Linked DNA regions of Diceros bicornis minor. The protein of the gene in region 1 interacts with the protein of each later gene in a pairwise test. Links are inferred from orthologs where the notes say so. Each region holds a gene or a part of one and is shown in the gene's direction. Other genes may lie near its edges. The genes, in order: TXLNB, LURAP1, VIM and CEP63.

Evidence for each region.
Region 2: the proteins of TXLNB (region 1) and LURAP1 interact in binary tests that used the Homo sapiens proteins (3 or more experiments, as listed by UniProt). The two-hybrid records come from large-scale screens. The link is inferred for Diceros bicornis minor from reciprocal best matches to the Homo sapiens genes TXLNB and LURAP1.
Region 3: the proteins of TXLNB (region 1) and VIM interact in binary tests that used the Homo sapiens proteins (3 or more experiments, as listed by UniProt). The two-hybrid records come from large-scale screens. The link is inferred for Diceros bicornis minor from reciprocal best matches to the Homo sapiens genes TXLNB and VIM.
Region 4: the proteins of TXLNB (region 1) and CEP63 interact in binary tests that used the Homo sapiens proteins (3 or more experiments, as listed by UniProt). The two-hybrid records come from large-scale screens. The link is inferred for Diceros bicornis minor from reciprocal best matches to the Homo sapiens genes TXLNB and CEP63.

The regions. Positions count from the first base shown.
Region 1 is NC_080778.1:19,217,705-19,224,682, reverse strand, and holds the start of TXLNB (beta-taxilin), read left to right. Parts: upstream 1-3,963; coding exon 3,964-4,402; intron 4,403-6,978. UniProt on the Homo sapiens protein: Promotes motor nerve regeneration. May be involved in intracellular vesicle traffic.
Region 2 is NC_080752.1:9,099,106-9,106,271, forward strand, and holds the start of LURAP1 (leucine rich adaptor protein 1), read left to right. Parts: upstream 1-4,159; 5' UTR 4,160-4,289; coding exon 4,290-4,490; intron 4,491-7,166. UniProt on the Homo sapiens protein: Acts as an activator of the canonical NF-kappa-B pathway and drive the production of pro-inflammatory cytokines. Promotes the antigen (Ag)-presenting and priming function of dendritic cells via the canonical NF-kappa-B pathway.
Region 3 is NC_080775.1:17,452,117-17,459,859, forward strand, and holds the start of VIM (vimentin), read left to right. Parts: upstream 1-4,731; 5' UTR 4,732-4,881; coding exon 4,882-5,444; intron 5,445-6,091; coding exon 6,092-6,152; intron 6,153-7,743. UniProt on the Homo sapiens protein: Vimentins are class-III intermediate filaments found in various non-epithelial cells, especially mesenchymal cells. Vimentin is attached to the nucleus, endoplasmic reticulum, and mitochondria, either laterally or terminally.
Region 4 is NC_080741.1:18,003,267-18,010,624, reverse strand, and holds the start of CEP63 (centrosomal protein of 63 kDa), read left to right. Parts: upstream 1-4,356; 5' UTR 4,357-4,438; coding exon 4,439-4,635; exon of another isoform or gene 4,636-4,666; intron 4,667-4,701; exon of another isoform or gene 4,702-4,781; intron 4,782-5,173; exon of another isoform or gene 5,174-5,253; intron 5,254-6,261; exon of another isoform or gene 6,262-7,209; coding exon of another isoform or gene 7,210-7,352; intron 7,353-7,358. Other genes in the region: ANAPC13 (anaphase-promoting complex subunit 13), read right to left, coding at 1,743-1,841. UniProt on the Homo sapiens protein: Required for normal spindle assembly.

The DNA.
Region 1 (6,978 bases):
CAGCAAGGACTCGTTAACTTGGAAGGAAATGCTTTTTCTCTCACCCATTTTAATTCACCAACTTTATTACCAAATGGTGCAATAAACAGCTTCACTCTCTTCATCACTGGAATTTCTTTATCCTGACCTCTACGTGTTGGGTATACTCATCTATACATAACTTATGCCTACTCTGAACTTGGAGAAAGGGTTGGGAAAATGTTTGGGGGTGGAATATTTTCGTTTCCCCTTGCTACTGTGACAATTTACCACAAATCTAGTGGCTTAAAAACAACACAAATTTATTATTTTACAGTGTGGAAGTCAGAAATCCAAAATGAGTTTCACTGGGCTAAAATCACGATGTCGGTAGAACTGCATTTCTTTGGGAAGATCTTGAGAAGAATCCATTTCCTTGCCTTTCCCAGCTTCTAGAAACTTCCCGCATTCCTTGGCTTGTGGCCCCACGTCACTCCGACCTCTTTTGGAGTCATCAACTCTCCTTTTCTGACTCTGACCCTCCTGCTTTCCTCTTTCCTTTGTAAGGACCCTTCTGATTACATTCAGCCCACCCGGATAATTCTGGATAATCCCCCCATCTCATGATCCCTTATATCTCTAACTTAATCACACCTGCAAAGTCTCTTTCACCATGTAAAGTAACATATTCACAGGTTCAGGAGACTAGGATGTGAAAATCTTTCAGATAGCATTATTCTGCCTACCACAAGGGGGGTGTCACAATGCCCAGCCTGTACCAAGAGCAGACACTGATGGAGGAATCTGCTTTGCAAAGTATGGGAACACGTTCTCCAGAAACAGAAAGAAAAGGGGAGTGGATGCAGGTTAAAAGAAAGAGGCATTTTATGGTGAATGAGGAGGAGGTGCTTTTCCTGGGGAGAATTAAGGAGCAGGTTGAGAGCTTGGAAACAGTGGGAAAGACTTGGAAAAGCTTCCAAGTCTTGGAGGTGGGGAGTCTTGGGTGTGTACGGTGGGAAAGCCTCCAACTAAGGAAGAAAAAGCAGACTGCCTCCCCCAGGGCTTACCTGAGATGGGAAGGCAGTACCTGAGACTAGAAGGCAGTCACCTGAGTAAGAGGTGGGATCAGAGGTCCCTCCAGTTACCATGAACGTGAAAATGACACGAAACCCACAGCCTAAATAACCGTCTAAATTTTTATTTCAAATTTTACAAACAAACCAAACAATGACATCAGAATAAAAGTAGTTCTAGCACCTCCTTTTTGTTATGCCATTGTTTTTTGTTTTCCATGATTCCTTTAAGAAACCTGACACTAATTAGGCTAGCGTAAGAGGGGAAAAAAAGGAGATGAATCAGAAACCACACTGGAAATGAACCAAGAAATAAGAAAAACCGATCTCTGCCCAAAAGAACAACAATGGTGAAAAATCGTGCTAGCAAAGAGGCTGTATACTGAGAGTTTACATTTTCAAAAGGATGAAACATGGGGAGTCTGATAAGATCTATCAGCTGCTCCTCTTTTCTGAGACATTTGCCCAGGAGACTGCTACAGAAGCTTGGGTGTATTTCTCTCTTGCTGTGTCATAGGATGTGCCTCTACCCTCCCCGCCCCCTCCCTGCTCTCCTGCGGCCTCGGTGCCTGTGTGTGTGTGTGCGTGTGTGTGTGTGTGTGTGTGTGTGTTTGGTCTCTCTCCCCTGTAAGAACACAGCTGCCCGCCTGTCTCCTGCTGTTGCTGCTGCTTTGACTAGCTTTCTGCTGCCTCTTGCCTCTCCTTTCTCTTTCTGCTCAGCTCCTTGCCTTCTGGTAAGTGTGACAAACACTCCCCCAAGCCCTGTGAGAAGGTGTTGGGTGCGGTTTGTGGTGTTCGAAACTTGCACCTTTGAGATTGCCAGTGAACTGTTGAAGAACTTTCCATTGTTGTATTTATAATTAAACTGTGTTGCTCAGGAAGGGACGTGTGTGTGATAATCTGCTGGGACTGCCAGTACACGTGAAAAATTCTCTCAGAGGACAAAAAAGACAGGCAATAAAGTTTATAGAAGATAAAATTTAGAAATAATTTCTTGCTAAATTAATCAACATGGAAGGAGACAATTTAAAAGTAACAGAGGTGTTGGATTTTGTTTTTTTCCTCTTGTTGATTTATCTTGAGGCTACTTTTACGAATTGAGTTGTCCTGTGGTTTATAACAACTCAGTTATTCTATTTTAAAGCAAATGTGGAACATGAGTTTAAAGGATATCCACGGAATTAGTAGAAAAAACATCAATGATTATGGCCTCTGATGAATGAAGAATAGATCAAATACAAACAAAACACTTGCATTTAGACTAACGACACTAAAACTCCTCTAGACAATCAGTTTAAATTCCTTGCTTTGAAGTTTGGTTAACTTTAGATTTTATTTCATCCTAAGAAGCCTCCTAACACTTTAAAACCCACATCTGGATTTAAACCAGTAAATGTTTGCTGTTTTCAATTTGTATTAAAAAGTATTCTCTTCCTTTGATTTTCAAAGATGAAGTGCTAAATGCCAGGGCTCCTTTTAGAAGAGCTTAAAATAACTCCTGGCTGGACAGCAGGTGCCGTGTGTCTCTCTCCAAGTTCAGGGGAGGCGTAAGTTATATATAGATGAGTGTGCCCAACAAGTAAGTGTCGGGATAAAGAGATTGCAGTGATGGAGACAGTGAAGCTGTCTACTGCATCATTTGATAATAAAGGTGGTGAATTAAGATGGGCGAGAGAAAAAGCACTTCCTTCTAAGTTAATGAGTCCTTGCTGGGGGTCACAAGTGGGTGGCAATGTCTGTATGTTGAGTTTTCTGTTCTTGGTGTTCAAGCATTTGACATCAGCTGCCCTGAGGCTGGGGGGAGGAAGCTGTGCAGTGCACAGAACAGTGTGTTTTTGTTTTCGCTCTCAAGCCACACAGCAGCAAAACCTGTGCATTATGAGGACCCTGTCATATTTTTATGCTGCTAATTAGCAGCATCACCATTAAATATCACTTACAAATGAAACGCACCATAACTTAAAGGCCTAAGCCAAATCTATTACAACCCTAGAAATGGCAATAGCCATAAACTCTAGAACCCTTGACTCAGCTAGTCCCTTATCCCCTATTTCCAAAGAGCCCATATTATATCTGGGTTATTTCCCTAGTTCATTCCCTCCCTGTTCATTAAACATTGCTATTTCTTAAAAATTAACTTATCCTAGGGCTTCTTGACTGAGAAGGGAAGGTTGCAATGTTTTTTTCTAAAAGAAAGTTAGTTTTTATATTGGAACAAAAAATACGTTATAGAAATTCAAGGAATTATTATTATGAGTATCACCATGTTTTCATACTAGTTTGTGTGTTAACTTATATCTTCCCTCATTTTCTGTCTTATTTCAAAAACGATGCTAGTTTGAACCTCAAGAATAGTGTTTTCCTGATTGATAATTACACGTTACTCATCTGGGAAAAGGAAAATACCAGAAAAGCAACAAAGTATCTCCTGTAACCAGTATAATAATTCATTTACATCAATGTACTCATATTAATCAAACCTTCATTTATAGATTAAAATAGTTTAGGAATGTTATTGTTATGAATAATTTTAGTAAGTTCAATGGATTTTGCATTAAATGTTTTAACTTTGAAAAAAACAACATTTAAAATTTAAACATTTTAAATGTATACATCCATGTACTTCCAATGACTGTAAATCAACATAGAATTATATGAGAATTGCAACACAAATGGGCTATTCTAAGCAAAATGACAAATATGTCCACCAAAAAGACCAACACCAAAGTATGCTAAAAGACCCAATTTGGAAAAATGGCTTCCTACTGTTCCTACCTACTTAATTGCAATATTGATGGTTTGTGAAAGTACATTCACTCTATGTTAGAAACTGTAATTAGTAGGTATCCGTTTGAGGCTATCCTTACCATTTACATTTAACTAGGTTAACTACATAAAACCTGCTGGGCTTCCACTAGATTCTACTCCCGGTATGGAGACGAATCACTCTGTGCCACTCCCGGGGGACCCCCAATCGACACCTCCTGGGGACATTTCATCATTACCCGCTCAAAATGACCTGGAGAAGCAAGATGATCAGGCTTCCTCAACCCCACTCCGAGCATCAGAGGAGGAGGCAGGTGTGCAGCCTGAGCAGGGAGCTCATGATATCTCTGAAGAGTTGAATCGACAACTGGAAGACATCATCAACACGTACGGGCCTACTGCCGGCACGGCAGGGAAAGGGGGTCCCACCAAGGCCCAGGAACAGCCTGAGAACCCAGAACCACCTGACAATGAGGACGGGGATGGCGAGGAGGCCACTGAAGTGACGGAGAGAGAACCCGTGGCTTCTGGAGAGCCCCTCACAGCCAAAGAGCCTGCCAGCAATAAAGAGCAAAAATTGGAAAAGAAAATCCTAAAAGGATTAGGCAAGTAGTTATGTTCTAATGTATGACTTTTCTTTGAATTATTCCTAAAAGGGGCACTTCCTCTAGCCTTTACTAGAAGCCACATGTCATATTTGGATTACTACAATAGCTTCCTTTAGGATCTCCCTGCATCTTCTCTTACTGTACTTGTCCCCAGGCGTTTCCCCTAGATAGAGTTAAAGTGAACTTTCAACATGTCACCCACCTACCCTCTGTCCTCAATGGCTTCCCACTGCTCTTAGGACAAAGGCCAGAATTCTTAATACGGTCTTTCAGGCCTTAAGCATCTCTCCAGCTTTGTGTCCCATCACTTTACCCCACAACGTCCCCTTCCTGGACACTCTGCCCCTGTCACCACCACCACTGCTACAGCCTAACAGCTAGACATTCTGAACTTCTCTTTCAGTTCTTTGAACTGAAACATGTTCTTTGAACATGCCATGCTCCATCACTTACAGGGCCTGGGTCCCTCCTATTTTCTCCACCTAGAAATTCCTGCCCATTCCCCAGTTCAGCCCTTTGGACACTTAACTCATTTTTCAGCTCACAACTCAAATGGCATCTTTTTAGCCCAACCTTAGATAAAGTCTTCCTGTTTTCTGTTTCTATTGCACCATGCATCTTCCCTTCCTAGTGTCTATCAGCATTTGAGAGTATGCATTTACTTCTGTGATTATTTGGTTCATGCATGACTTCCCCATCAGCTCTTTTACCTCAAGAGCAGAGACTGTGTATATTTGGATATCACTGGATGCCTGGTGTCTAGAACAGTGGATGGCATATGTTAGATGCTCAATAAATGTTTGTTATTAGGATGAATGAATGAGTGAATGAATGAAAGGAAAACTGTTTAAAGCAAAGCTAGTGGAATCTGGATTTAAACAAAATATAAATATAGGGATGGTTCTGTATATAAAATGATTGTCAATTAGATCACTTAGTAGTATGTTCCATTACTATATATTCTTTTATTTAACAAAACTTAGGAAATGTATCAATTATAGAATGTCAAAAATTGCAGAAAATATTTTTACTCTGGTTAGTTAATTGGTTCAGCAAAATATTCATTAATGTCTAGTCTTCATGAGGTACTGTGCTAGGTGCACAAAGATAAATAAATCTTCAAGACCGTTTGGTTAAGGCACTCTAGGTATGGAGAGAGAAACAAACATGCAAACTAGTTGTTACATAGGGCAGTGTGAGAACAGGCACATGAAAATTGTTAGGAGAGCATGGTGGATTGTTTACACCAAAAATGGCTGTGAAAGAGGGTGAGAGAGTTAGTTCTCTAGCTACGAGTGAAAGCATGTTACTGCACACATGAGAGTCCCTCTGTCTTCCTTCCTTGGTGAATTTCCCTGTAGCACTCTCTACAAATGCCACCTCTGTGATACATTCTCTGACATGCCCAGGTAGAGGAAGCATCGCCTTCCTTAGTTCTCCATTAATTTTTCTACAGTAATCTTTTATTTACATGCCTACTTCCCAAGCTGGATGGAGAATCTATCAAGGGCAGTGACCATGTCTTACTCATTTCTGGAAGACAGTGTGGCAGAGTGAAGGATCACAGGTACTGGAGTGAGAACTGGGTTCAGACTCCAGTAACAGGTTATCTGTAAACCCAAAAGTATGTCTATGCTGACATAGGACATCACTATGATGCTTAAAACCCATTGTTGGCAATACTTTCAAGAAGGGCTGAAAGGCACATTCAAATAGCACACCTGACCTACCCAGCGTAAAGATTAAAATAACCCAACTAATACCAAATTCCAAATCGCAAGATTAGCATCACTCTAGTGTTCTGGAACTCTGGGAAAGAGAATGAAGTTGCTTTGTTTTACAGAGCCATTTTTCCTTCTCTATCAAAAGCATCTCAGCAATATCCCTTTGCATTTGTCATTGTTAAACTTTCCATAAGACAACACAAAGTCACGTGGCAGAGATGAATGATTTCAAGTGTACCTAACCAGGAAAGTTCTTTTGCTTATCACTCTAAAACTACTTCTATATAGGAATCTGTATGTGTTGTCTTGGGGGCATGGATATGAAGAAAGCAGAGGTAAAGTTCAAGATGACCACTACTCTGTCTTCCCTGAATTATTTCAAAATCTATGGTAACCTTATAATTACCAATAATCAAAATATTTTAGAGAAAGAAAAAACTCCACAACTTTAGTTCTGCCACTATCTACAGGTTACCAAATTTCAATTGAATGTGTTTGATCAGAACCAATGTTTGTGTATCAGAGCGCCCAGGTGGGTCCACCTAATTACATGTGTGTAAACTGCTGACCCTTCCTTGGCATTTCTCTGAATACTATCAGCATATTCTTCTAAACACTGTACCATTTCAGCTACATTATGAATTAAAACAACATTTTTAGGCTAATCAAAATATGACAATATTATTTCAGTTGTCCGCAAGGGACTTGAGCAGGCTTCTTGGCTGTTTATCAATTAAATGACACTGCACCATCGTCTAGACCAATGATTTTCAAACTTAAGTGTGCACTAGAATCAAGTACAGAATTTGTCAAAAATGCTGTTTCCTGAACACAGAATTGGTAGGTCTG
Region 2 (7,166 bases), on another chromosome or scaffold:
AAACTCCCTTGGGGTTGGGGGAACTGAAGGGTTGCCCAGGGTCCCAGCGGTGGAGGCCAAATAATCGGCTCTCAAGGTTCACCAGCCCCTAAAAGGCCCAAGACCCAGCCTTCTCAGTCCTAGAGCGGGCACAGGGCAGCGACCCACCCCCCCCTCCCCGTCCTCCGTCCTCGCCCCCTCCTACGTGACCCAACTCTTCTCCTCCCGGGGCTCGGGGCTCCCGACGACTCGGGCGACCTGCCCTGGCCGCGTCACCCCTCCAAGACCCCCGCCCGGAGGCACTCACGGCTCAGGGGCCGCGAGCCTCGCGGGAGCCCCGCTCGGGCCCGCACGGCTCGGCCCGGCGCGCCGAGGCCTCCGCCTCCTCCATGCCGCTCGCGGCCCCGCCCCGGCGCGGCCCGGCCCGCCTCCCCGCTTCCGCCGCCGCCGCCGCCGCGGGGTGAGAGGGCGGCGGGCGGCGCTTAGGGCGGCGCGGGCGGTCTGCAGCCCGTGACTCCGCGAGCGCTCGGAGCCGCGGCCGCTTCGCGGGCGGCGGGATGGGGGCTGCTGGGGGAGGGCAGCCTCTCCGCCGCCATCACTGCCGGATGGCAAAGCGATGCGAGTCGGAGTCCTAGAGCCTTGGACCAGACCCCACGGCGCTCCGGGGTCAGAGGGGCGACAAGCCTGGGACACAGCGACCCTGGCCCCTTGCTTGGGCGAGGCTTCTCCCAGGTCTGGGGCATGCAGGGCCTTTGGAGGCCGAGGGACATTAAAAACCTGATTCTGCTAATCACCTAGACCTTGGGCAAGTCACTTCAGGTCTTGGCGTAGGTTCCCTTCTCTGTGAAATAGGGGTGTGCTGATATGATGCAGACTGTATGCCAGTCAGTTTTAAACACTTTACTTATATTAACTCATTTAATTCCACAACAACCCCATGAGGTAGGTACTATTACTAATGAGGCCCAATGTCACCAAGCTGGGAGAGCTAGAATTCAAACCCAAGCGGCCTGGCTCCAGAGTCCACTCTTAACCCCTGCACCATAGTAATACTTAGAGAGTTGATGTGAAGGTTACATGAGATAATACATATAAAGCAGTTAGCTTAACACAGTGGTTCTTGAACTTGAGTGTGCATCAGAATCTGTTGGAGGGCTTGTTAAAACACAGATTGCTGGGGGGCTGGCCAGGTGGCGCAAGCGGTTAAGTGCGTGTGCTCCCGGGCGCACATGGACGCACTGCTTGTCAAGCCATGCTGTGGCAGCCGCCCATATAAAGTGGAGGAAGATGGGCATGGATGTTAGCCCAGGGCCAGTCTTCCTTGGCAAAAAAAAAAAAAAAAAAGAGGAGGATTGGCAGATGTTAGCTCAGGGCTCATCTCCTCACAAAAAAAAAACACAGATTGCTGGGCCCCATTCCTAGAAGTTGATTCAGTAATCTGGGGCAGAGAAGAATGCTGCATCTTTAAGAAGTTTCTAGGTGACAGTGACACTTATTTGAAGTAGGTAGCCATGGAACAGTTTTAAGCAGGAGAGCAACATAATCTGATTTAAAAGAACTTTTACCTTTTTGTGGAGAATGTGCTAATAGGAAACAGGACGCCAGAAGACCAGTTAGATTTTTCTGAGCTCTCCGTAGTCCATCTGTTTTCTAAATGGTGGGATGATATCCCCCAAAATGTTAACAGTACTTGTCTTAGGAGTTGAGGCAATAGGTGATTTTTCCTAATGACTACGTATTAGAACAGAAGAAAACTCAATACATTTTGTTATCATTTGAAAAAGATGTCCCTCAGTGTTCCTCCCTGACTCTCGTCTCTCCTCAAACTCAGTCTCCCTGAAGATCTCATCCCCTCTCCTGACCTCGGTTACCTTCTTGATTCCTAGACTCATATCTGCAGTCCTAACCTTTCTCCTGCGCTCCAGGCTGACCTGTGTCCAACTGCCTGCTGGACATCTTCACAGGCCCCTCCAACTCAACACGACTCCTGCTGGAATCATCTCTTCCCACTCCTGGACCTCTTCTTGGGCTCCCTTGCTTGGTGAATGGCCTCAGGCCAAACAGCTGGGAGTCACCCTTGATTCCTCTTCTCTGTTCAGCAACCAGTCCACGTCTGTGTGCTCATCACTTTATTCTCTGCACCACACACAATGGCTAGCACATAGTAGGCTCTCCATAATACTTATTGAAATCTGTCGTTTTTTGAACAAATATTTATTGAATGCCACTATAAATAAATGAGTGTAATTAGTCACCAAATCGTGTCAATATTACCCCCTAAAGAGTCCTTCATTCTGGTGTCATTCTTCTCCAACCTCACAACCAGCCCCTGGTGCAGTCCTTTTCGTTTGCTTGCCTTCCAACTGCTCTCCCTGACTCCAGATTTTTACTCCTCCAATCCTTTCTTCTTGCAAAATCCAGAGTAATTTTTCAAAAAAGGAAATCTGTTTTGTCAATCTCTGATTTAAAACCCTTTCATGAATCAAGAGATGTTAAGGAGAAATATATTACTTAAAATTACGAAGGTAGGGGCCGGCCCGGTGGCGCAAGCGGTTAAGTGCGCGCGCTCCGCTGCGGCGGCCCGGGGTTCGCTGGTTCGGATCCCGGGCGCGCACCGACGCACTGCTTGGTAAGCCATGCTGTGGCGGCGTCCCATATAAAGTGGAGGAAGATAGGCACAGATGTTAGCCCAGGGCCGTCTTCCTCAGCAAAAAAAGAGGAGGATTGGCGGATGTTAGCTCAGGGCTGATCTCCTCACAAAAAAAAAAAAAAAAAAAAAAAAATTACGAAGGTAACCATTGAATGAACTAAAAATAATGATAGAAATAAATAGGGCCAATGGAAGAAGGGAAGTAAGGAGTGTAAGTAAGGTAAGTTGTATTTATCATAATAGGAAGTCAGTAGACAATTTTTAAAATGAAGAACTAGTGATACAGTATAAACCTATGTGGTGTTATAGGTATAAACACCAGAAAAAAATAGCTAAAAGTGGTTGCCTCTGGGGAGTGGGACTAGAGGTGGGAAAGGATAGGGCAGGGGTAACTATGTTTTCATTGTAAATCCTTCGGTAACCATGGACTGGAATTACTTGGATTAAAATCCAAAACCAAGCCAAACCATAAAAAGTTTTTCATGGCTCCTCATTACCTGTGGAATAAAATCTAAGCACCTTAGAACCATTTTCCATTACCTTGTTGCTCAAAGTGTGTTCCCTGGACCAGCAGCATGGCCATTGCCTGAGAGCTTGTTAAAAATGCAGAAGTCCAGGCCTCACCCCAGATTTACAGAACAGTAATCTGCATATTAACAGGATTCTCAGATAATTCATATGCACAGTCAAGCTTAAGAAGCATCAGTATCAAGATCACGTATGATCTGGCCCTTGTGGACCTCTTCAGCTTCAATACTGGTTGCTCCTCATTGGCCAGAAGAACTTTCCTTTCCACTCCTTTAGTCTAAATTCAGTGGCCAGGGGCCGGCCCGTGGCTTGGCGGTTAAGTGCGTGCGCTCCACTACTGGCGGCCCGGGGTTCAGATCCCGGGCGCGCAGCCACGCACTGCTTCTCCAGCTGAGGCCGCGCCCCACATACAGCAACTAGAAGGATGTACAACTATGACATACAGCTATCTACTGGGGCTTTGGGGAAAAAAAAAAGGAGGAGGATTGGCAATAGATGTTAGCTCAGAGCCGGTCTTCGTCAACAAAAAGAGGAGGATTAGCATGGATGTTAGCTCAGGGCTGATATTCCTCCCCCAAAAAATAAATAAATAAAAAATAAATAAATAAATTCAGCGGCCACACTGTGGGTGTATGCGTGTGTGTCAGTGACTAGCTAAATTCTAATCACTGTTTTAGACCCAGCTCATCTACTCCAGGAAGCCTTCCAAAACCCTCTGCAGCTCTTTTATCACTGTTCCTTAAATTCCCATAGCTCTAACTGAGGATGCTTAGCCTTCATTCAGCAAACATTTATTGGGCGCCTGCTGTGTGCCTGGCTGGATTCAGTGCCAGGGTAGGGAGAAGGCGTTCAGCTCTCCGAGGGCTCCTTCAAGTCCAAACCCAGAATCGCCCAGCCGCACGCATTCCAGGGCCAGAGGCAGCGTGCGCAGCACTCGAATATATATATATACACACACGCAAACAGTGTCCTGCGCGGCTTTTCTGAGCGTTACGGCGCCCTCCTCCCGCCCCTACGCGGCGCGGGCGGGGACCCACCGGTTCCGCTCCGCATTAGCAGCGGAGAAAGGAGGACCCCCGGGAGCGGGATCCCGGCGTCTGGCCGCCCAAGCCCTGTTCAGGCTTAGGCCCGCATGGAGGGGACTGCGGAGTCCCAGACGCCTGACCTGCGAGACGTGGAGGGCAAGGTGGGCAGAAAGACCCCTGAAGGGCTGCTCCGCGGGCTGCAGCGAGGCGAGTGGGAACCGGGAACCTCTGGCGCCCTGATGCTCCCGGGGGCGCCGAGGACGGGCCACAGCCTGGGGGACAAGATCGTGGCGCTGAGGATGGAGCTGGTGAGTGTGGGCTGCACCTGCCAGAGGGACGGAGCCCCCCCCACATAGGACCGGAAGGGACGGACTCACGCCCCCAGAGTTGGGCTGGAGAGGAGAGAGTTAAAATTCCCCACCTGACTCCTCAGGATCCCTCCCTGATCAATCCTTACACCCTGGGGTCCATTAATTACAGACCCCCGCACCCCCACTCCCACCCCTCACCCTCACCCCAAGGATGAGTGGGGTATTGATGGGTCCTGAGGACCTGGGGTGGGAGGCACAGGTTTTTGGAAGTTTTTCCTGCCAAATAATTGGGAGGAGAGAGGTGAGAACTGGGACGCCCTGAGAACCTAGCACAGCACAAATCTCCCCCCTACCCCTCACTACCGGGCTGCCTATCCCCCAGCCACCATTACAGGGCAACCAGTTTTTTCTCCTCCTGCAAATTGGGCCCAGGGTTTGTTCCTCTGAGGCCCCGGTATTCACACAAGATTCAGCACAGAAGGGATTTGGGTGAAAACTGCCTGGACTGGGGCCACCAAAAACATCCTCTCTCCCCAACATCCCCCCACACCCACTTAAAGTATTTGAAAGTTCCTGGAACCTTAGCAGACAGAGCAACAGCACCATCAGTGTTGGCCCGGTCACTGACTCAGTCTCTTCCCCCCAGCTCCCCAGGTACACTGGATATTTGGATCTCGTCTGTACCTCCTTGGGGAGAAGAGGAGGAAACAGGCACCCTCCCCCTTCCCTGTTGCTGCTGGTCTAGATTCAGAGCCAAAAGGGCACTTGGGGCCCCCCCAGGCTCCCTAGGGCCCTGGTTCCGGTGAAGGGGCTGATTTACATCTGCCACCACTTTGCAGCCAGTTCTGGGGAACTGAGGAATTGCCAGCCACTTTCTGGCCCAGAACCAGGAGCCCACAGTGAGTGTGTCAGCCAATAGATCTTCCTGGAGCCCCACTGTGTGCCCAGCTCTGTGCCAGGCTGAGCTGTGAGGGAGCAGCAGGGGTGGGTGGGGGGAGGTCATGGGGTCCCAGACAGCTTGAGAGGCTGGAGAGAGCCTTGTGGGCAGAGCAATCAGGGAAGGTTCCTTGGGGGAAGGATTTGAATGCCATGTGTGCACTTGGCCTTGAAGGTTGGAGATAAGTGCCAAATTCTCCAGAGCGGGGCTGTGACTGTGTCCACCCAGGGAGGGGCCTGGCTTTGCCTCATTGTACTTTTAGCTGAAGGCCTAGAAAGAGCCTATCTAGAGTGTCTTGCTTTGGAAACTAACTTTTACCAAGTGCATGTGCCAGGCATCATGCTGAGCACTTGACAAGATGTTCTTTTAATCCTCACAGCAACCTATTGGGTAAGTGATACTTTATAGATGAAGAAACTGAGGCACAGAGAGGATGGTAACTGCCCAAGGTCATATAAAAAGTAAAAAGCAGAGCTAGGCTTTGCACCCAGATGATCTGCCTACACTTTGCATCTTTCCCATTGAGACCTGCTGCTTTGTACCAGACACTTAAAACACATTTTATGTCATTGAGGTGAGAAAAGCAGTCCTCATATTCCCCGTCTCACAGATGGAACATGCTGGCGAGTGTTAAGGGGCTTGCTTGAGTTCCCACAGGCAGCCAGTGGAGGAGCTGGGCCTGGGCTCTAACTCTTTCCTGCCTTTGGTGGAGATCACCTGTTTGTAAACTTTAACCTAGTACATTTAACTTCTGATTAGATCTCTCTGCATTCTTGACCCAGCCTGGCCTGGGGCCCTGATTAGGTCTCTCCGCATTCTTGACTCAGCCTGGCCTGGAGCCCTGGGCTGTCCATGAAGGGCATGAGGGAGAGAGCCTTCTAGGGGCTAGAACAGGGTCGGGCTTCTTATGTGCCCCAAGGATCCCTGCCCCATTCCTATCTCCCTCCTTGGGCCAGGATGTCATTGATCTCTTTGCGCTCTGCCCTGCCCACTGGGTTGCTCCTGGGGAGGACAAGGGGTGGGCCAGGAGGTTTCCCTTGGAGCCGCTTGTGGCAGAACCGGCCCAAGCCCTCTAAGTCCTGTCCTTCAGCTGTCCCTCTCCTGCAGGGAGGGGGCAGGCCTGCCCTTGAGGCCAAGGTCATCCCTGCCTCTAGCCTCTTCCCTGCTGCTTCCCTCCCCTACTCAAAGGTCTAGTGAACCAGCCAGACTCTGAAATATATGGGGAGTGGAAACAATGGCAACCTCTGGCTACTTAATCCTCCCACCCAAAAACTGCTGCTATGACAACCAGCCCCCACAGAGCAGTTTGAGGAAAAGCTTTAGGCAAGGAGGGGGAAGGCTTGGGTTCAAGTCCTGGCTCTGCTCCTGAATCATTTTGTGATCTTGAGCAGGGCCCTGACTCTCTTGGCCTCAGTTTTGGTGCTTCTTGGGGGATGCGGGTCAGGGGATTATGGGGCCAGATGGTCTCTAAAAGCCTTCTTAGTAACAATAGTCTGGGCATCTCAATCCACGACCAGGGAACTAGGGCTGGGAGGATCTCTGGGCTTTTACCTCAGGGCCTGATTTGGATTGAGTGATGTGGGAGCCATGCTTGTGACCTCAGGGCTGGGCAGAGAGTCTGATGTGGACATGTTAAGGGGAGGAGTGAGCAACCTGAATCCCCCTGGGAAGAGAATTGGGTTGGAGTGGCCTCTGAGGCTGCATCTCTCCTGAGCTGTTTATCCCGTTTCCAAAGA
Region 3 (7,743 bases), on another chromosome or scaffold:
CAACAAATGTCCAAGCTTCTCTGTAGGCACTGGAGATAGGAGAGTGAGCAAAAGAGAGAAAATTCCCTGCCCTTATGGAGCCTACATTCTACTCAGGGAATGAGTGATTTAGTTTGGATCTTCAGGGAGTCTTAAGAATGCAGTAATTAAGAAAAAGAGGTTCTGGCTCAAAGACAGACACACTGGAGGAAGTAAGGAGAGCCTGGAGAAAGGGAAGGCAATTACATTATTGCAGGGATGAGGTATAAAATGGCCTGGATGTGAGTGACAGCAACATAACAGAGGAGTGGACACAAGAAGCAATGGGACAGGATGTGATCCAGAGAGATCTGGATCTGGGTGATGGGATCTGAAGTATCCAAGGGTAATGAAGTGCAAAGATGACGAATGTTTCCAATCTTGTTAGTTTGCTATGTTGCCTTGAAGAGACAGAGAAGTTCGAGGGGGAAGCTGCTCTGTTTGGTGGGTTTTAGGGTGTGAGATGAGGCTAAGTCCAATTTTGGATATGATGCCTCTGAAGAGAGAGAAAGGAATCTAGGTGAAAATGTTTAACTCACCAAGTAAAGATTTAGGGTACAGGTGAAAACCAAACCCCCTTCTTCTCTATTATGAATCATTATAACATCATTTAAATAACATAAAACATGATATTCTAAGTATTTTCCAAACTCCTCTAGGAATCTGCTCCTTCACGACATAATCTGATAGTTATTCTCTCTCTTCAGCTCCTGAAACACAGTAGGCCCCTAAATAATACTTGTGAATTGGATTGGTTAGAGTAAGCAAAATTTCATCACCAAGCAAAGAGAAAAGTGCATTTGGAGTCAGAAAGACCTCAATTCAAATGCTTGCTCCCTTCCTTCCTCCACTACCATGAGCACATCATTAGCCCTGTGTCTTTGACGCCTCGTCTGTAAAACATGATCAACTGTATCTTGCAGGATGCTAGGAGAGCATTAAATTAGCTTAAATGCTTGCAAAGTGCCTGTCATTGAGTAGCCACAAAAATGAAAGCACTTATTATATTATTGATTATTATTATCTTTATTACCATGCCTTTCAGGTTTTGCTAAGCTTTCACCATCTCACTTTATCCACCTTCTCATTTCTAACATTCCATCCAGACGATCCAGCTAGAAGCTGTCCTCTTGGCGTGGCCTCCTGCCAGCCAGCTTTCCGAAAGCCTCCACAGGCCACTAAGCTCCTCTCTGCATGGCTGGCTGGTCCATCAGCTCAAATCGCCCGATTCAACTGACATTACCACAGCTTGCAAATTCCAACATCGCTGTGAGGACTTCAGATTTGGTAATGTTTACGCCGGGTCTACAAATGGTATCACTGTGTCCTTAGCACAACTCACATCATGCAGTGTTTGTAGCAGCTTCTAGCATTTAAATATACTCCTGAGATGTTTTCACAGCAATCAAAAAATAAATACAAAAACTGAGAAAGCTATGTCTACGTACTGTTTACTTCTAAAAGCTAACTAAGAACATGGGGCAAGAATATAGCAGGATTAGTTATAGTCAAAGATGCTAGTTCAGACACATTGATATGCCTCGTTGATGACTATCAGCCATTGATTTCCTCCATCGTTGACTATTACCTATTGATTTCCCTCATTGATGACTATGACCCATTGGTTGAGGCACTGTGCTGGGTAGTGTATAATTTATCTCAGAATGAAATTAATTCTTTCCTAGTCTCACGCATTCTACATGAAAAAATAGAAGTGTTTTTGTAACCTTTACTTCTCTACGTTCTACGGTCCATCCTAAGCTATGGCAATTTCTAATAGGACACACCTGATACTGCATATCTGTGTGTGCACGCGCGCTGTATGGCAAATGCCCCTCCTGTTTGTGCCCCTCCACCCCCAATTCATATGTTGGAGCCCTAATCTCCAATGTATTAGGAGGTGGGGCCTTTGGGAGGTGATTAGGTTTAGATGAGGTCATGAGGGTGGGGCCCCCATGATGGGAATGGTGTTCTTATAAGAAAAGGAAGAGGCTGCACTCTCTCTGCCCCCTGAGAGTACAGCAAGAAGGTGGCCATCTGCAAACGAGGAAGCAGGCGCTCATCAGACACTGAATTGGCTGGCACCTTGATCTGGGACTTCCTGCCTCCAGGACTGTGCGAAATAAATGTTTGCCGCTTAAGCCATCCAGTGTATGGTATTTTGTTAGAGCAGCCTGAGCTGACCAAGACAGCAAGTGAACATAACCCAGTCCTGAGAATACAGATTGAGGACAGGTTAGAAAGGGGAGGGGATACCCCTGAGATGAAGAGGACGGCCAGAGTCCCTCCCAGAGGAGGTCACCATAGCCCAGAGGAATTTGCTGTGGTCACCAACAAGGCACACTGCCACACTGCACCAGAGCCTTGTCCTCATTTTCCATAGTGAGTAAGTCAGCAAGCATCCCCTGACAGCACCACTGCTTTGCCCTGGGATCAGCATTTTAGGCGGGAGAAAGGTCCACCACCCTTCCCCCATAGAGGGATGGCTTTTTCTCATCCTAAGGGTTCCAGGCGGACTCGCAATGGTGACATTTGCTGAGCTGTGGCTTGAATAAAGGGCTCTCAGAGATTAAGATGGTAACTAACATGGAGCATAAGCTAGTCGGCCAGGGCGCCACACCCCAGGAATGCTTCTTGGGAGTGACCCACAGCCTCCCAGAGAAAAAAGGAATCCCACAGTAGGTGAGCTGTGCAGCAAAGGGTCCTCCAGCTCGACCTTGGCAGCACCACTGGCCAGAACTAACTGAAATGAGGTAAACAAAATACTGCCTAAAAGAGGCTTGTACAAAGAAGCTAGAATAAACCCTTCATTTGGTTCTAAACTATTTTTCTTAAATGCCAAGTAACCTCTAGTACCCCCGTTCCAAAAAAAAAAAAAAAAAAAAAAACTAGAGGAAATGATCTTACTTTTTCCCCCTATCTATTCACTATGGAATCAAGACGCTTCTATTTTTACAGTGATTTTGGAGTTAATCCTTTCAGTACTCCCTAAGTCTTCTAAATACTCAAACAAAAAAAACCCTGTGATTTTTAAATTGCTACTTATTCACAAAAAGACTGGCTTGCCTTCGCTCTCTTCATCTCTTTTTGGGGGTAACCACTCTGTTCTGCATGCTACTAATATTGCAACAAAAACCCTTGAGTTGACTGATTTGCCTAGAAGGGTCTTGGTGGTGGAATCTGAAGTCCCCTGGTGCCCTAAACCAGAAGTTTTTTGCTCTATAGACGGTTTTACTTCCCTCACTCCCAGACCGATGGCACGAATTCTTCTGGAAAACAGGCCAAAGGGACCTGTGACATTTTCCAGATAAGTCACCAGAATCCTGCAGTGTGCAACGCTGAACTAAAATGAACACATAAATCTCTTTCTTCCAAACACCCCGTCATTTGCGTTATATAATTGCCTTTCATTAATCAAATTGGGGTTTTGAAGCAACATCTAATTACTTCTATAATTGGCGCAGATTATACCTTTAATGACTTCCACTACAGCAGAAAAACCAGTGATCCCTGAATTTGATTTTGAAACTACGGACGCTGAGTTTCCTCTTTCACCCAGAACTTTGAGATCGTGCTAAAAGTCGGGTGTGGCTTCACGGGGGGAGGAGGGAGGCTGAGCGGAGACGGGAGGGGAGAGTGGGAGGAAACTTCGCAAGAAAAACCTTCCCCGAGTGCATTCATGATGTTGGAGACCCATGCTGGGCGGCTCTCGAGGGTCTGCAGAAGTTTCTTGCTAAGAAGTCCCCACATTGGAGCAAAATCAGACTTTGGCGAGTTCTTAAGAACTTACGGCCGCTCTCGTCTCCCCACAGGCGAAGCGCACACTAGACAGCGGCGCGCCAGCTCGGAGCTGGGTGAAACTCACAACAAACAGTGCGCGCGGGGCCGGCGGAGACTTGAGTCTGTCTCGTCTAACGGTTTCCTCGAACCGCTAGGAGCCCTCAACCTTGGCGGCCAGCAGGGCGCAGTGACTCAGCCACCCCACCCCTCTCCCCCGGGCTTTCCTCGGCCGCCGCCTCGAAGCTCGCGCCGTCCAATGCCGGACCGAGCCCGTTAAGTCCCTAAACGGGAACCCCCAAGACAAGAGGATGCAAAGAGAGGCAGGGCGCGGCGGTCCCCCTTTCCAAGCGGCCGGTGCGCTAGGCTGTGCGGAGCCCAGCCCTGCATCCCGGGCTGTGTGCGCCCCCACCTCGCGCTCCAATCTCAGGCGCTCTTTGTTTCTTTCTCCGCGCCTTCCGATCTGCTGGATCCCTTACTCCCCCTCTTCCTGCCCCTTTGCCCGCGGGTCTCCCCACCTACCCGCTCCCAGCCCACCGCAGCCCTGCAGTCTCGGGCCCCTCCCACCCGCGCGCCTCCTCCCACGCCTCTTTGGCGCACTGCCCAGGACTCCTCTTGTCCAGTCCCCGGCCGGTTCCCCCGCCACCGCGCGACCCCGCCTTTTTCAGCACCCAGGGGTGAGCAGAGCTCGGACCATCATCAGGAAAGTCCCCTAAAGTTCCAACCCAGCCAAGAAGCAACGGGACTGTGCCCAGCCCCGGGCAATGGAGAAGGGGGGAGGAGGAAGGCTCGAGGGGGCCCCCGCCCCAATCCCCCGCCCACCCTCCTCGCTTCTCGCCGGGTCCCCATTGGCTGACGCTCTCCGCGGCTGGGATGGCAGTGGGAGGGGACCCTCTTTCCTAACGGGCCTATAAAAACTGCGCCCTCGGCGGGGTCCCGTCCTCTGCCACTCTCGCTCCGGGGTCCCCGCGCCAGAGACGCAGCAGCGCTCCCACCGCCCGCACCCACCGCGCCCTCGCTCGCCTCTCCTCCCGGAGCTAGTCCGCGCCGCCGCAGCCGCCCAGCCCACCGCCACCCACTGCAGCCATGTCCACCAGGTCCGTGTCCTCGTCCTCCTACCGCAGGATGTTCGGCGGCCCCGGCACCGCGAGCCGGCCGAGCTCCAGCCGGAGCTACGTGACCACGTCCACCCGCACCTACAGCCTGGGCAGCGCGCTGCGCCCCAGCACCAGCCGCACCCTGTACTCCTCGTCCCCGAGCGGCGGGTACGCCACGCGCTCCTCGGCCGTGCGCCTGCGGAGCAGTGTGCCCGGCGTGCGGCTGCTGCAGGACTCGGTGGACTTCTCGCTGGCCGATGCCATCAACACCGAGTTCAAGAACACCCGCACCAACGAGAAGGTGGAGCTGCAGGAGCTGAATGACCGCTTCGCCAACTACATCGACAAGGTGCGCTTCCTGGAGCAGCAGAACAAGATCCTGGTGGCCGAGCTCGAGCAGCTCAAGGGCCAGGGCAAGTCGCGCCTGGGGGACCTCTACGAGGAGGAGATGCGGGAGCTGCGCCGGCAGGTGGACCAGCTCACCAACGACAAGGCCCGCGTCGAGGTGGAGCGCGACAACCTGGCCGAGGACATCATGCGGCTCCGGGAGAAGTAAGGCAGTGCCCATGCAGGGCGGGGGGGAGGGAGGGAGGGGGAACGGGCCCCCGCGAGGGGCTGCCACGCCCTCGGGGATGTGTCGGGGCGGCGGCTGCTTCGGGGACAGCAGGGGAGCGAGGCTGTGGCTGCAGCGGCGCAGCCCCGCCCCGAACCCAGAGCTTGAGTTAGCATTTCCCCTCCACCCCCACTCATTGCCCAAGAACGCCCCGTTTCAAGTTACAGATTTCTTAAAACTGGCACTTGGTCAGTAGTCGAAGCCCGCGATTTCCCCAAACTTTTAGAAAGTTGCCAGGCCCCACCTGGCGGGCTGCCAGCCCTAGGGCGGGAGGGAGGAGGAGGGGATCGCTGTGCAGGAAGCGAGACAAAGGGATTGCAGAGGCTCCTCGGGGGCGGAGGGCGGGGGCGGGGGGCGGCGTTGGCCTTGCAGGTGGGTGTGGCGACCGTGATTGCTTTTCGACGCTGCGGCCGAGGTCCCGCTAAAACTTGGCGAGGGCTGCCGTCCCAAAAGCCGCGGTCACTGGCTGCCCACGGAGGTGGCGCAGCAACTCTTGTCTCGGGACGCGGCGGGGGGCGGTTGGGTGTGGCCGCCCCGCCCCCGGCGGTTTCCCAGTTCCCCTTTGATTCATGTGCGACTGTTTCAGGTTGCAGGAGGAGATGGTTCAGAGAGAGGAAGCCGAGAACACCCTGCAATCTTTCAGACAGGTTTGTAGATTCTCTTCCCACTCGCAGCCACCGGACCCCACCCAGCCGGCCCGCGGGCAATTCTAAAAGTTACTTAAACCGAGTCTAAAGAGTGCAAATCTTCACGTCTGTGCGCAAAGCCCCCTAGTGGCAGAAAGACCACAGATTGGAGCTTCTCATAAAAACCTTTGAATGCTTTAAGCCGTTCCTTAGGACAGAAAGTCTTTTTAACTTTTTACTTTGTTTCAAGATCTTTTCCAAAGAAATATTTTTTTCCATTTCTTTTTTGCAGCCCATTGACACGCTGATTCCGAACGGTTACAGTTCGATGTAGATTGCGGTTTGCTGAAGTCAAGGTGGCTAACTTTTACAAGGCCACAAAAAGCGCAATTATGCCCTCTAATTTAAAACATAAAACGTGTTGGAGGATAAGAAACTTAGTTGAACTGGAATTAAGCCAGCAAGTTCCCTTTGTTCTCTGCAAGTTCCACTGTGGCATTAAAGTTAGAGGGAAGTTTCGCTATGCACTACTATTTTGTGATCTAAGAAGGGTGAAAAGGAGCCATCTGTCCCCTTGGCTGAATGGTATTAATGGTTTCTATGGGCTTCACTATGGAATGTAGATACAGACATTCTGGCAAGTGTGGTGGCTCTGGACAGAAATAATAGGAGTCTTTGTGTTGCCAGAGAAGCTTTGCAGCAGGCTACATTCTTATTGAATATGTAATGATGTAAGCACAGTTCTAATTGGACACAAGTATTTGCTAACATCCGTTATCTAATATCTGGCCTTGACTTGTGAAGTATGTGATGTGGAAAGTTCTTAAAGCTACAGTCATAACCTCACATATGGAAAGGCCTTTCTTCGTTGGGTTCTTGTATTCTTTAGCACTTTCTCTGTAAATAAAGAATAACCGTAAGGCTGAAGAATGGAATTTTAATTAAAAGGGTTTTTTTGCTTTGCAGTTAGATGGACTTAAGGGTTTTTAACTTGAAATTGGAATTCAAAAGCAGGAAAAGTTCTCAGCATAGTTTTGTTCTCCTGAACACTTAATAGTGGCTATAAAAGCACTCTCAGATGAATAGTCTAGAATAATATTTTGAAGCAGAAATACATTTGCCAAATTAATTTAAACACAGCAATATGTGGTTCATTTTAGTCATTGGGCGTTTATGATCATATATTTGTAATGTTTCCCGCAGAGTCGTGAGTTAATATAAAAATTGTATAAAAATATACAATATTGGTACGAAAGATCTCCTATTTAGGGATTAGGTAAAAATCCCTCATTCTCTTCAATGAGTTAGAATGTCACACTGAACTTTTTTATAGAGGTTAGTAAATTATCTTATATCTTTTTTAGGGCTTAACAACAAGCAAAAATGAATATTTTTCCCCAAGCCTGATCTTTTTATCACCCATTTCTTATTCACTTTTCCATGAAGGTGTTAGAACTGTCTCAGCATTTTAAGACTGTAAGGCTATAAACTGTATTCCAAATATAATTGCTTACAAGATAAGAGGTATAAAAATCCTCATGACGTTCCCTTGAGGGGAAATAAAATCTTTGGCACGCAGCAGTTCATAAATGGTGGAAACACAGTAGATGCG
Region 4 (7,358 bases), on another chromosome or scaffold:
GAATTCAGCAATTCTCCTCCATTTTCTTATCTTTGTTCAGGCCCTCCTCCCTTGCCTAGACCACTGCAATAGCTTCTTAATTGGTCTCTCTGCCCTGTCACTTGCCCCTTTCTCCACGGCAGACATTCTCTAACAATGCTGATTGTTAAACTGATTTTCCAAAACCCAAAACTGAGCATGGCAGACTTCCACTCTGAAGACCACTCATTCCTGGATATCCCCAGGATGAGGTCTAAGCACGGCACCAAATACTCTTCTCAAATCTGGTCCGAGCCCAACTTTTCTGCCTACTTATATGACAACATATTCTCCATCCACACTGAATGCCTCACCATCTCCCAAAGCCTTTACAAATTTGGAGCCTTTGCACCTCTGTCCCCTCTGCTGGAGTGCCCTTGTCTACCTGACTAAACTTCTGATCCTCCCTTCTGACATTCTCTCTGAAGCCTTTCCTGAGAGCCAACAGGCAATCAACCACCTCCAATACTACATAGCTGTTCATGACCCCCACTTAGGACACTTTTTATAACTATTTATCTATGTTACCTCTTTAGACCTCTAGGGACAGAAACTACATCTTATGTTCAATTAGTCTCATGGTACACAGTAGGCTTAAAAAAAATGCTTGTCGAGTGAAAGAATGAACTAAAGTTTACAGGACATGATCTGGAGCCTCACAGACCTAGGTGTGAAGTCCAACCCAGACTGTGGACAAGGTCCCCTCTCTGATCCTATTTCCTGCCCGTAAAATGGGGTAACACCACCACCCCTGCAAGGTTGCTCTGAGGATCAGAGATAATGTATGTCAAATTTCAACCTCAGTCCATGGCATAAAACTGGTATTCAATAAGTAGCAGCTATAATTCTCATTATGCTCTTTTGACTATTTTTGTAAACTCAAACTAAGCTGTGACTTATTATTTGATATGTTTTATCCATCAAACATATTATTATCTCCTATTCTTAAATGAAAATGTGGGTGAGCTGAATTTTATTTCTCTGTAAATAACAGCAGCAGATCATCTACCTCCAAGCTATTTTTTATTAATGGCTCTTCTCAGGGCAGTTGGCATGCTCTAAAGAAAAACAGTCCCTAAATCCTGTTCTCCTTGTTTTTTGTTAGGCCTCTTATGACATAAATAGGACTTTTTAATAGGCATTTATACAAGCAAAACTTTTACATAACTTATTCATGAAGTTTAACAAACTCCTTGCAGGAGAGTTTTCCAGAGATTGGGAAAGAAAAGAGTATTCCAGAAGCCTGTTGGTCTAAATGCAAAAGAAGAAAAGCCAGGTGTCTTTTGAATATTTTCCAGGGAACCTGGGATAGGTGTGTGTACCAAGAGTGCGAGTTTCTAAAAATGTCAACTGACAAACCACAGGTAGAGAAGTTAGAAATGCAGTGCTCATGCCACTGCTTCTTGTTCCTCTCCTTCTAATGCACTAAACTCTCATTATCCAGTTTACTAGCTTTGGTGTGGTGGATAGAACACGGCTCAGAAGACCTGTGTTCCATGCCTGGCATGACCCCTAGCCAAGGTGGTCATATCAGCTCTCTGAACCACAGTTCTCTTCAAATAAAGACTTGAGCTAAATGCGCTCCAGAGGCTTCTAGGGTTAGAGGACTCCACAGCTTTGATTTCTCTGCCCTGCTAGCTTTTTTGTCCACTGATTCCTACCTCTACCAGGACCCACCAGATCATACCTTTAACCCATCATCCTCAGCACAAACTATAACCTACCAGTGGTATTGCGACATCCTCATAAGGAAGCTTGTCTTCTCGCCAAGCATCATCAATCAAATCCAAGATCCTTCCATCTCTCTGGACCTCACTGTCCATTCTCCGGCAGCTTTATCTTGTCAGATCTGTAAGCCAAAGAGGTTATTTCTTAAACACGAAGACTGAGATGACGTAATCCCGCACTCGGAGTTCCCAGGCTTTTCGGCCTGGATATGTCTTTTGGGATAACATCACCCTGGGAACGACTCACCTCTTGCCTGGGTCAGGTGACAACTTACTTTATAAGATCACAGTCCCTTCCTCCTGCCCCCTCACTGCTCAGCTTTACAGTGTTATCGGACAGACATCAGACATAGCCCAGTTGACAGACCAGTGTCACAGCGTGACAGGAGGCCAACATACCTGAGGGCCTCCTTTACAAGGCCACAGTACATCTTGAATGTAGCTTTTCTCTCCTAAATTGCACACTCACCTTTCCCTGTTTGAGATGCCTTTGATGGGTCCTTGATGCATAACCAAGTCTCCTCTCTGGCCCCTCTAGCCTTTCCTGCACCATTTTTACAAAAGTCTCCACCTGCCTTGGCTCTAATCTCAGCATTCTTAGGCACAGGAGCTAAATGAACACACTGAGATAATGCTGAACAGGGTTACACGAAGTGACCAACGACAGATTTGACAGAAATCCTCAGTTGAGCCTGTAAAAGAAACTGCTTCCTTTCTGAAAACAGCGCCCAGCCTGAGCTCTGAAAGGAGCACCTCTAGGTGAACAACAGTGGCAGTACCCCATGCTGCTCGTGTCTGTTTCCCTTCAGGGTTCCTTCCTCTGATTCTCAACGCCATACTCCCTTCCATGCCTGGCCCAAGCAGTCAAGCGGCTTACTTAGCTCCTTGACTACAGCTGATTCCCTATTTTTCTCCTAAACGGCTGCTGCCAGCTTGGAGGGCACCTCTGCATCTCGTTTCCAAGTTTGGGCTCTTGCTTCTTCATCACAGGCACCAGACACCACCCTACTGTGCCACCTGCTACAAAGCAGCCATCCTGATGGCTTGGAAGCCAATGACACCAAAGGCACTCTTTTATTCCCAGTTTGAGACTATGAAGATTCATACAAGAAACAATCTTCAGGTGCAGAATCCAACTCCTTCATACAGGCCTGTGCTTGTCCCCAGTAGTGTGATTGCAAGGTAACCCTAATACCTGTAATAACTGTACAGATTGTAGTGGCAGAAGGGTTTTGCCCCCATGATAAGGATCCAGGCAAAACTGAAGCAAAAGGTGCCCAGCTACTTCTGCCACCAGTGAACATGATGAGGTCTTCACGTTTAACTCAACGATTAATCCAGGACTGCCCAGTGGACAAGTGAAAGCCAAGGAACCTGTCTTTAGGAAATCCACACACAAGGAGTTCCTGCCCTCAGTTCCAGTTATACTTTTGGAGTCCCTGGACTCCAAAATCTGGAGTCCTATAAGACCCCTCCCTTTTCCTGCTGCCACTCCTTCGTCCTTGCTGCTCTGCCCCTGGGGATACCCTCCTTAATTTTCTAAGGTGACCAAAACCAGCCGATTTTCCCAGTCACACACAGATTCCATCTTTTTGTCAAGTTTTCTAAAATCACAGCAGCTTCAGCAGGCACTCGGCCCTCAAATGCTTCCTTCTTGTCCTTAACATCTACTAAACAAGTCAGGTCGCCTCTGCAACCCACTGCTCAGGTATAATTGTCTCCAAGTGATTTTTTTTTTCTTTCTGCTGAGGAAGATTAGCCCTGAGATAACATCTGTGCCCACCTTCCTCTATTTTGTATATGGGACGCTGCCACAGCATGGCTTGACAAGCTATGTATGCATAGGGATTGTTATGTGTAAATTTTGTATCAATGCCTCAGCACATCTTCCCCCAATGTGTCCTCAATCTTTATTCACCCGTTCCTTTTCCAAACACCTCTAACCCTCTCATACTTGCCAGCCTCTGCACTTAAAACCCTCTTTCCCCCAGCACTAACACCTACTTTTCCCTCCAAACTCAAAGTGTGCGTCAGCTCTTCCGGATCAACGTCCTCCTTCCACAGTTGGGCGCTAAATTGCCTTCACTCTTAAGGGGCTGGAAGAGTGGAAAGCATCAAGACAGGCGATGTCCAGGGCACGGCCACTGTCCCAAGCACTTGCCACACTCGACAGAACGAACCACTACCAGTTTCCCGAACAAACTGTTCTTACGCACGTGACAGTCCCAATGCCTGGAAGGCTTTTTACTCTTTTTCCCCAGCTAATCCCCAGTCAGTCTAGAAACTCTCGGGTCGCCTCCCGCAGGAGGCCCTCCCCCAGACCCAGGCGCGCGCGCGCCCGCCCCTGCAAGGGTCCCATGGCTCCCAGGGCTCATGAACGGTCCCGACGGGAGGCTGCCACATCGCCGGTTACACGTCCTCCCAGACAGACGGTGCGTGCGCCCCCCGGGGCAGGCCTCTCTGTGCTCCAGAGCTCTGTAAACGCGCAGCTCCGCGATCAAAGCAGGAAGGCGTTTTCCCTCACTAGAAATGACCCTCGCAGGCCACCACCGTCGTACAGGTGAGGCTGCCCCCGCCGCGCCTTCCGGCCCGGGCTGGAAGTACCAAAAGCGGAGCGGGGGAGGTCCAGGCCCGCCACGCGAGTCCTCTCCACCGGACCCGGCGTGTGATAGGCGAATGAGTATGAGAACGAAATGAAAGCCTCAGCTTCGGCCGACGGAAGTTGGAGAAGCGCGACGCTGAGGAACAACGCGATCCCGCCCCTCCAAAACCTAGGCCTGCAGCGCGGTAAACCCTTACCGGTACCCGACCCAGATCGCACCACTTCCGCCAGACCCCGCCCTCCTCATCACGTGATCCGCACGCCCTTTTCTCCGATCCCCGGATGTGGGTGAGCCCATTTGCTGGCGCGGAGGGGAGGTCAGGGAGGACGTAGTGTCAATTCAAAGTGAGGGCGCAGTGGGCGGAACGAACGTGCCGGCGACGGAGGCTGGACGTCAGGTTGGCGGTGACGCGCGTGCGCGCCCCCGGCCGGAGGTAACGGCGGGAAGGCTCGGGGGCGCGCTCGCGGCAGCCCGTAACCGCATGTGCGCACGTAGGGCCGGCGAGGGCCTGAGGGGTTCTGGGCTGGAGGCCGCTCTGGCTGCAGTGGCGCCGCCGGCCGCGCGGCCCCAGGGACCGGGACTGGCTTCCGGAGCTGCCCGCCTGCCGCCGGGCCCGCCCCCGCCGGCCCGGGCCCGCCCCGGCGCCCCGCCCCTCGTCCTTGCCGCGGACGCCCTGCGGCCGCGCGAAGGCGACTATGGCGGTGCCGGGCGCGCCGTCCGCGCCAGCCAGGTGGTCAGCCTCTACCCGGAGGCTGGGAGGCTGGGAGGCCGGGAGGGCGGAAGGGCGGGGGCGAGCTGCTCTCGGGCCCTCACCTTCCCTGGCGGAGCCAGGCTTCCTCCCCGGGGGAGGGACCCCGGCACAGCCCTCCCGCCCGGGCTCCGTGCCCTGTTAGCTCCCTAGCAAGGTGCGACTTAGGTCCTGGACGGCGGGTGATACCGGTTCATGTGTGGTGGAGAGGTTAGCGATTTTTAGCAAGGGAGTTGCTTTACAAACGTTAATGTTAGTACAGGAGATACGGAACTGTGGCAGAAATCGTGAAGGACTGAAGTTGGGGAACCCTGAACTTAACGGATTGCTCCATACGGATCAGGGATGGGAAATAAATGATAGAGTGAGAGTTTAAAAGGGACGGTTCTGTAGGAACACTTGAATCATGAAGATATTTGAAGACAGTAAATCTAGGCTCATAGCGTGGTTTTGCTTATGTCTCTTACAACAGAAGAGTAAAGAGTCTGCTGTCAGTGACTGGTCTCCGTTTACAGTTACAGTGCACTTATTTGCACAAAGTAGTTTTCATTGAGCCTTACATCCGATTCCTTAAACCGGTCTTTGAAAAAAGTTTTTTAATTCCTTTAATAAAGCAGTATTGTAGGGTAGGTACCCTGTAGTTATGCAGTTCCCCACATGCTTACATTTAATTTTATTTTATAGCTATGAAGAGGAAATCGTCATAAGGATCATCAACTACATGTTACTTTCAAATATTTACATTTCTACTTATCGTAGCTGTAGCTTAACGATAAGGTGTATGTATTTTCTTATTCAGCTTGCAGTACCATATTTAGATTGATTTTTATCCTGAGCTTCTTGCCCTTTGACTATATCATTATCACTGATCAGGATAGTAAAAGACAAATTAAAATAGGTTAGAGATTTATAAACATTCAGACAGTCACACCGCCCTTTAAGATGTATGTAGATTCAAGTTTTAAAATTATTTGTAATAATTGTGTATGTTAATTGTACTGATGCCATTTTCCTCCCATTAATAGGTGGGAGACGTTTGCTTGGTCATCCGTATTCTCATTTGTGTAGTAGTGGTGGCTGGTGGTGACAGCATCAGTAGTCCACTCTATCAGAGCTTCCTACTTAAAAAAAAAAAAAAATGTTAACTTGATTTGAAATTCAGCTGAAGCCAACATTAATATAGGTTTCAGGAACTGAATTTTTGATTTTTATGTTATGTTAGGTTTTTTTTCCCCTCCAAGAGCTAAGTTTTTTTTTTTCAGTTTTACAAAACCACAGTGTTGTCATCACACCTAGGAAAATTAAAAAAATTACATAATGTCAATATTCAGTCTGGATTCAGATTTCCCCAACTGTCCCTTAAATGTCTTTTTACAATTAACTTGTTTGGATCAAAATCCCATAGAGATCCACATGTTGCATTTGGTTGATACACCTTTTAAATCTTTTAATATAGCAGTCCTTGCCTCCCTTTTTTCCCTTAACATTCTAGATTTAGCTGATTGCATCCACATGGTATCCTTTAACATGTACATCTATTCCCTTTATTTCCTGTGAACCAGTAGTTAAAGCTAGAATTGCACTGTCCACTATAGTAGCCACCAGCAAGCTGTGGCTATTTAAATGAATTAAAGTGAAATAAAACTAAAAATTCAGTTACCTGGTTGCATTATCCACGTTTCAAGTGCCCAATAATCACAGGTGCTTAGTGGCTACCATTTGAATAGTGTGGATAGAAAATATTTTCATAATTGCAGAAAGTTCAGTTGAACAGCACTGATCTAGAAGCTGGATCAGATTCAACCTTGATTTTTTTTGGTGGTGGGGGTAAGATTTCCTAGGTGCTGCAGTACACATCCTATTGTATTAGTTATCAGAGAGGCATGCAGTGTCTCAGTTGTCTCTTTTTGTGATATTAAGATTGAGCAGTGTAGTGGCTTCAGGTGTTGTCAGCCCAATCCAGCCATCATGAAATTCCCCATGAGCCTTTCGCTCGATGGTGAATTCTTTCCATGGATTTAGATTGCCTATAACCATTATTGCATTAGGGGTTGCAAAATGGTGATTTTCTAGTTCTATCATTCCTTCAGTGTTTATTAGCTGGAAATCTTTTATGAAGAACTTTCCCCACCAGTTATTTGACTGCCATCAGCTATTTGAAATACAGTTTGTGCAGGAAAGGCAAGAAAAATACTTAATTCTTTCCCTCTATTTTCAGACTACGATAATGAGTTGGTGGCCTAGCAACCTCCAAAGGTAACC